2 linked regions of the Sus scrofa genome follow. The protein of the gene in region 2 purifies or fractionates together with the protein of the main gene of each other region. This does not show direct contact. Links are inferred from orthologs where the notes say so. Each region holds a gene or a part of one and is shown on either strand. Other genes may lie near its edges. The genes, in order: RPTOR and RHEB.

Region 1 (3,802 bases), on a different chromosome or scaffold from region 2:
ACGAGCGGCCTGCGCCTCTGCGGCAACAGGACACACACCACGTCATGACCTCGCAGGGTCAAAGCTGGAAGGCAGGTGAACCCCAGGCCCCGGACGGGTCTTTCCGAAGGCCAGCCAGCTTCGTCCGACAGGCCCGCAGTGGGGAGCAGCCCCCGAGGCCTGGGGACGGCACGGATGACCTTGCCAATCAAGACCAAAGGGCACACGTCACGGTGGCAAGCTCGGGAAAGGCAGACTTGTTTAGAGTCGGCAGGAAGGCCAAGGCAGTGCTTTTCTAAGTGGTAATGCCAGCCACCCGACGGCAGTGCAGTGGGGGGGCCAGGAGGCCGGCTGGCACAGCAGGCCCCGTGCAGCCCCGGAGCCGCCCCCTGGCTCGTGGGGCCCGAGGGTCGCCGCGAGCGGGCCGGCGGGGCCCGGGAGCCGCCACACACTACCTTCATGACGGGCTGGGCAAAGTACCGCGCGCTCCAGTCGCAGAAGCCCGTCTGCATCGTGGCCGAGATGAAGCTCTTGTGCCCCGCAGTGTCGTCCGGGTCGTCGGCAGTCTTCAGGCGTTTGGAAAGGGGGAGAGAGCACAGAGCAGAGTCAGCCACCGCGTCCCGGGCCTCCTCGCGAGCTGTGGAGTGGCCGTCCCCGGAAGCAAGGCGGCTGGGGGCTCGGGCCTCTGGGACAACTCCATGCTCCCTCACCTGTGGCTCTGGTGACCAGGGAACCCCGACCGTCAGAGCCCGAGCCTCCCGGGGGCTGGCCGAGGTGGCTGGGAAGCACCCCCACAAGGCCTCTGCTACCTGGTCCTGCGGCCTCTGCGCCGACCAGGCCGGTCACACACGCACCGAGCCTGCCTGCCCCGCTCGTGGCCGGCACGGGAAGCGCCTCACAGAGGAGCCCCCACCCGGGGAGGCTCCCTCCGCGGAAAATCCCACAGATGCCGGGTGGGCGGGGCCAGCAGCAGGTGTGGTCACCTGTCCGCCCTCAACGCCCGCTTCCAGCTCCAGGCAGCCGCGACACACGCTGGTCCCTGGCGAGCTGAGTCATCCCCGCACGTCCAGGACGCCCTCTCTAGACGGCGCCTGGCTGGACGGCGGTGCCCACCCTGTTAGGGCTTCTCAGAGCCCCGACACGGTGCCAGCTCCTCCCCTTCCCGAAACGTCTGGGTCAGCTCAGGGGCAGAGCCGCGCGGCCTGAGAGGCGTGCTCGGCGTTGATGGAAAAAGCAAAGCACCGTCAGCACGGACGCTTCCGCGGAGGGGCCGCCACGCGGGGTGGAGGCTGACGCTGTTCACCGGGAAGGGAAAGGCTCCACGCGCTGCCACCTGGGAGCTGCCAGGACGAGCGAAGCCAGGACAAGGGGGCAGCCGGGCTCCGAGGAGGGCCCGCAGCGCCCGAGCCGTGAGCATCCGTACCTGGTCCGGGCCCTTGTCGAACATCTTGCGTGTGCGGGGGAACTGGTGGGAGTGGGGCGTGTACTGCACCCCCACAGGGCCCGCGGCGCCCGGCCGGCCTGGCGGCAGGTCTCGGCTGACCGGCTGCTTGGCCACGTCGTTGGTCAGGCTGGAGCTGCTGGTGCTGGACGTCGGCGGGGAGCCTCTGCCGTCGGGGAAGGAGAAACGCTGTTTCACCCAGAGCCCGTCCCTTTGAAACGAACCCCTAAGCAACCTCTGCTGGTAGTGCCCCCATCCCCAGATCCTGCCCACGGCCCAGTGCCATCAGCTTGGAACGTCCTCAGTTGCCCAGTGCTGCCGTGACGGCCAAAGCCCAGCTGCCGACGCTGAGTTAACGGCCCTTCTAGCTTCTGCCTGGGGAGAGGTTCTAAGGACCGTCTCCCCTGAAAACTGCGCAGGCGGGGGGCCAGCTCGGCCAGGACTGCGAGTCGGCCGGGCGCTCAGGCAGGGTGCGGGCACGTCTGCCCCCGGGACTCAGTGCTCGGCCATGTGGACCCTGATTAAGAGGAGGGTGCCACCGGCTGGCACCCACGGGGATGGGGGGGTCAGGTTCTGCTCGCAGCGCTGCAGACGAAGGTAGGAGAGGGCCCTGGGAAGCGGCTCAGATGTGGGGGAGCGTCTGCGGGCTGGAGCGGGGGCACGAGGGAGGGGCGTCCGTGAGCCTCCCAGGCCCGGAGCAGGCCGCCCCACTTACCCCGCCTGGTGGATGTGGATGCCCTTGTTGGTGGGGCTGGCGGGTGCCGACTGCGTGAGCGAGGAGGCGGTGAGGATGCGCTGGGGCCGGGCGTTCATTGTGGCCTGGGGGGCAAAGGGGCAAGTCAGCTGGCAGTCGCGGTGATGCCGCCGGGGCACGACACAAGTCCAGGCGGGAGCTGCTTTGTGCGGCTTCCAGGAGGCAGAAAAGGCCTGTGGGCGAGGACGCGGCACCGCCACCGCTGCAGTCGCCCTGCAGACAGTGAGGCCTCCTTTTCTGGAAGGTATTCGCCTGGTCCAGTGAGGCTCCAGGGACAGGCCCTTGAAACGCTGTCACAGAGCTGAGCCGGGACTCACGGGGAGTGGGGTCCGAGGTGGGGAGTGGGGTCCGAGGTGGGGAGTGGGGTCCGAGGTGGGGAGTGGGGTCTGAGGTGGGGAGTGGGGTCCGAGGTGGGGAGGAGGCCCCCCCTCCGGGCCCTGGCTGCTGTGCTGCATTTTGGGGCAGGCTGGAAACAAGTTCCGTCCGGGCCCTTCCTCCCGGGGTCCTGCTCAGGCCTGACCGTCCCCCAGGGAGGGTCTGCACCAGCCTGAGACGCCCTCTAGGATGGAGTGGCTTTGTTGTGAGTTTTTAAAACAGAGAAGGGGAGGGAGCTCCCGGCGTGGCTCCGTGGTTAACGAATCCGACGAGGAACCATGAGGCTGTGGGTTTGGTCCCCGGGCTCACTTAGTGGGTTAAGGATCCTCTTGCTGTGAGCTGTGGTGTGGGTCGCAGACGAGGCTCGGGTCTGGTGTGGCTGTGGCTCAGGCAGCTGTAGCTGTGATTAGACCCCTAGCCTGGGAACCTCCATATGCCGTGGGTGCGGCCCTCAAAAGACAAAAAGACAAAAAATACAAACACAAATAAAAAAGCAGGGAGGAGGAAACGTTAAGCAAGCGTGTCACTGCTCAGCTGCTGGTGATCCCCGGGGCCAAGTTCCTTCCGGGACGCGGACGGGCCTGCTGGCTCTGGACAGCCAGGGTGAGCAGTCAGAAAGGGCTGGCGCTATGGCGGGGCCACCTCTCTGGTGGGAAGAAACCTGGAGCAGGCCCGTTAGGGTGGCTGGTGCCTCAAAGGCGGGGTGACCCCCGAGAGAAGGGTGGCGCCTGGACCTCCGAGGGGTGACGCTCCAGGGGCCCTCGGACTGGCTACGTACAGAGCACCCTGCCTCTCTGGACTAACTGCTCCGCAGTTAGGGACGCTGTGCCTACGTTCAGAGAGAAAACCATAGGAGTTCCCGTTGTGGCACAGCGGGAAGGAATCCGACGAGGAACCATGAGGGCGCAGGTTCAATCCCTGGCCTCCCTCAGTGGGTTAAGGATCTGGCGTTGCTGTGAGCTGTGGTGTAGGTTGCAGACTCAGCTTGGATCCCACGTTGCCGTGGCTGTGGTGTGGGCTGGCAGCTACAGCTCCGATTCGACCCCTGGCCTGGGAACCTCCATATGCTTCGGGGGTGGCCCTAAAAAAAAGAAAAAGGAAATTACAGAAAACTTAACAACCAACACAATACCAGTGTGGCCCAGGCAATCCCGCAGTTTGAAACAAAAACGGTAAGAGCTGAATCATAACCAGCCTTTCAAAAATGGCTTTTATTTTTTAAATTTTTTTGTCTTTTTGCCTTTTCTAGGGCC
Region 2 (3,881 bases):
CAGGATAGGGGTTGAATCAGAGCTATAGTTGCTGGCCTACACAACAGCCACAGCAACTTGAGATCCAAGCCACAGCTGTGACCTATACCACAGCTCTCGGCAATGCTGGATCCTTAACCCATGGGGCAAGGCCAGGGATCGAACCTGCGTCCTCATGGATGCTAGTCAGATTCGAAAACCGTTGAATCACGACAGGAACTCCCCTGACAGCAAACTTTTAAAATAAAGTTTATGACATGACAATGTCACAATGAGAAGTATTCTACTAGTCAAACTGGCACGTTTAATCAAGCGAACATTCTAAGAAAGGTGTGGTTTCTAGCTTAGCCTTTTCCTGCCACTCTTTACCCTTAGTCAATATGACACGACAGCTTAGCATTACAAAATAACACAACCGAGAAATACACATACTCAAATTTCTCCAGTACAGCACCATTTGCAAGCAAACGTGTCACCAAACTGCTAAGTCTGAATACTGACTCATTCTCTGGAGAGTGGTTATTAGTACATGCAATCAGGGGATTACTTCCCTTTTTGACGCTGGCAAAACAAAAGACCCCACAAGCTACAAATGTCCTGGTTCACAACAAAGGTGATCAAATGCAAAAGCAAAGGCAAAGATTGGGAATAATTTAACCTCTGCAAAATACGTTTCGCTTTACTTATTTTTTCCTTTCCCCTTCTTAGGGCTGCACCCTCACCATATGGAAGTTCCCAGACAAGGGGCTGAATGTGGAGCTGCAGCTGCCGGCCTATGCCACAACGCCACAACCACGCCAGATCTTAACCCACTGGGCGAGGCCAGGGATAGAAACCGCGTCCTTATGGATACTGGTCGGGTTCTTAACCCACTGACCTACAGGGGAACTTCTAAAATACATTTCACTTTAATCATCACCCCATGTGAAAACAAATATGGAGACAACTGAGTGGGCTACAAGCAGTATAACATATTGAAGGCACAAAAAATAGGGACCAAATATACCTTGCACCCCACTGGAGGCTGCTTTAGTACAATACTTTAACTAACAGCAGTTGAAAAGAGAAGACAAAGGGGTGACCTGTCTCATCTGGGTCTCTAAGAGGATGACGGCTAGAAGGAAGATACAAAAAGAACAGGTTTTAGTTGGATACGAGGAACTTCTTTAGCAAAACAGTGAGAGCAAATGCGAGGCTTATTCACTGAAGAACAGAACCACCACCAAGAATCTCTCTTCCGCTGAAATCAGGGAGCCCAGGTACTTATCACCTGTAACTTGATTATTCGGGTTCAAGTCACCTGTAACTGCTACCTTTAATTAGTGGGCGCTATGTATCTGATTAGCTAGAACTCACTCAAGAGCCAGGATATGTCACGGTCCCCCCTCTCTTCACAAGCCAGGGGAGGAACTAAAGACCACGGACAAGCCAGGGCTAGGTGATTTAAGCTGCCAACAGAGGTTGGATGCCAGGTTCCACATGGGCACTTGGGGCTGTGTAGACTTTGAAAGCCTCAATTTGATACACGGTACTTCCCAGCTGCAGCTGTTACGGCTGCCACCTACTCTTCTCCACACATCTGGCACTGCACCGTACCAGAGTTACCCCTATGACTCTGGGCGCCCCTTCTCACTACACAAGCACCTCTCAGCCCCTGATTCCCCCCACCCCCACCCCTTTGACCGGAGAGGGATGATAAAAGGATGAGTAAGCACGCTGTAGCTGATGTTGGTCAAAGAGCATAGACCCTGGCACCGGCCGTGGAAAATGGGGGTGAAGAAGCAGAACAGAAAGCGAGGTCGGGGAGTTGGCGGTGAAAAGCGTTCCTAGGGCAGTTACCGTTACCTCCTTCTGCAATCACCACAGACTCCAAACACCCGCTTTCACCCGGCAGCCGCCCCCCCACCCCGCGGTCAAGTGCACATTTCCCTTAAACAGTTCTTAAAAACAACACGAAAAGATAATCGTAATTTCTCCAGGCTTCCGGTTGTCAAAGACAATAAAGCCTCACCCTAAAGCATGGTTAGGTCAACGGCTGTTTTCTCGTTTTCTGGCACCCGGTCTACCCCCATCCCACCCCAGACCACCTCCGTTAGGCTAAAAAGCTACTGTCAGGAACAGTTACAGATATATGTCAATCTTGTTCAGTGGCGGCGGCGGCGGGGTGGGGGGGTAACTTTTGAATCACTTCACCAGCCTGGTTACAAGTACCTGACCTTATTTTTTCCCGTAGAAAAATAGGACACCGAGAAAGCAGAAATTTCTCTTTCCCTGCTTTTCTACTTCGGCCGCTGGCAGCATCCAGGAGGCTTCCGAAGAGGGCTCTTGGGTTTCTTTCGTAGGAAACTTGCCCTCTGTAGCCAAACGTCCTCTAGGTCCCCAGTTTCCTTTAAAACGTTGAACTTCACGCATAGGAAAAAAACCCCAAGGCACAGTTTCCTTTGTTAAAACCCCACGGACTTGAATTTGGGGGGTGCAAAGGCCAGCAACGATCACGACAGCTCGCCGCGGCGAGGTGAAGAGGGACAGGTGCGACTTCTGCCTTTGGGGGGCCTCGCGGCAGTTTGGCAGAGCGGTAGACCCCGCACCGCGTGCCCGGCGCGGGACCGCCGGAACTCCCCGTCCGCCCGAGGCCTCCCAGACACGTCCTCCCCGCTCCCGGGCCGCCCGCCGCCCCACGGGCCCGGCCTCGCCGCCGCCTCCGCTCAAAATGGAGGTGGCGGCGGCGGACCGCTGGTTACGAAACGCGCGGCCGCCACATGGCCGCGCCGGCCCCAAACTTGGCCCGGCCCGCCGCGTCCCGGCCCCCAGGCGAGGCCGGGCCCTGGCTCGAGGAGGCCGCGCGGCGCCCGCCACTCACCCACAGACCGGTAGCCCAGGATCGCGATCTTCCGGGACTTGGACTGCGGCATCTTGGCGGCCTCACAAGCCCCGGGCCAACCACATCAACCGCGGCGGCGGCGGCGGCTCCTGTGCTGCGATCGGCGGCTGCCGCGCCGGGGCAGAGCGGCATCCAGGGGCGGGGCGGGCGGGCGCGGCTGCCTTGGCTCCTGGCTCGCGCGCTCAACCGCCCGGAACCGCCGCGCGGCCCCGCCCCCAAACACGCCCACGTGACCGCGCGCGGCCGCCGGGGCCGCCCCCCTGCAGCGGCTCGCGTCAGCGTCGCCCTTCCGCCGCTGCGGCCGCCCCCGTCCCCGAGACGCACAGGGGTGCGCCGGGCAGGCGTTTTACTTTAAAGGGAAAAACAGGAGACGCCGAAATGCCCCTAGAAAAGTCACGACTGAAACTCGCTGCGTCATGACCCTCCCACCGGCTTCCGCCGCTTTTTAATTACGCCAGTTTTCCCCGAGCGCTGATTGGACAGTTCCCACCCGCCCGCGCGATGACGCGGCGGAAACTCCTTCTCCCATTGGGGGCGGTGAAGAGGCGGAGCCAGAGGCGGGGCTGCTTGCCCGGGAGCTAAAAATAAATTCCGACGCTCAGCCCGCGTTTGGGCGTTAGTGAGCTTTGCAGGCTTCGAACGTCTGGAGGCGGGTGGGAGGGGCGGAGGGACGCCAGCTTCCTAGTGATTGGTTAGATCGGGGGAAGGGGCGGGGAAAGATTGAGAGGTGAGGTGATTGGTAGAACGCTGAGCGGTTGATGGACTCGCGCTCGCAGAGCCCTTAAAAGGCGCGAGGCGCAGGTCGCTTGGCGGTTGCTCGCTGCGGTTGTTACCTTGCGTGAAGTTTTTTTCTTTTTAGCCCTTTGCTATATTGGTGTCAGTCTAAGTTTGAGGGTGTAGGTTGTGACTTAGTATCATCTATGGATGAAGGCCTGTGGGAAGACTGGAACGCAGTAATTCAAAATACGCATTTTTAAAAAAAAGTGTGCGCCACCTCAGTTGTCTCAACCCTGGGATAAGC

Evidence for each region.
Region 1: the proteins of RHEB (region 2) and RPTOR purify together in Homo sapiens (affinity purification with western blotting, with the first as the bait; 3 studies listed by BioGRID). This does not show direct contact. The link is inferred for Sus scrofa from reciprocal best matches to the Homo sapiens genes RHEB and RPTOR.

What each region holds. Positions count from the first base shown.
Region 1 is NC_010454.4:1,733,259-1,737,060, forward strand, and holds part of RPTOR (regulatory-associated protein of mTOR), read right to left. Parts: intron 2,240-3,802; coding exon 2,136-2,239; intron 1,587-2,135; coding exon 1,403-1,586; intron 546-1,402; coding exon 435-545; intron 1-434. UniProt on the Homo sapiens protein: Component of the mechanistic target of rapamycin complex 1 (mTORC1), an evolutionarily conserved central nutrient sensor that stimulates anabolic reactions and macromolecule biosynthesis to promote cellular biomass generation and growth.
Region 2 is NC_010460.4:5,778,449-5,782,329, reverse strand, and holds the start of RHEB (GTP-binding protein Rheb), read right to left. Parts: upstream 2,892-3,881; coding exon 2,840-2,891; intron 1-2,839. UniProt on the Homo sapiens protein: Small GTPase that acts as an allosteric activator of the canonical mTORC1 complex, an evolutionarily conserved central nutrient sensor that stimulates anabolic reactions and macromolecule biosynthesis to promote cellular biomass generation and growth.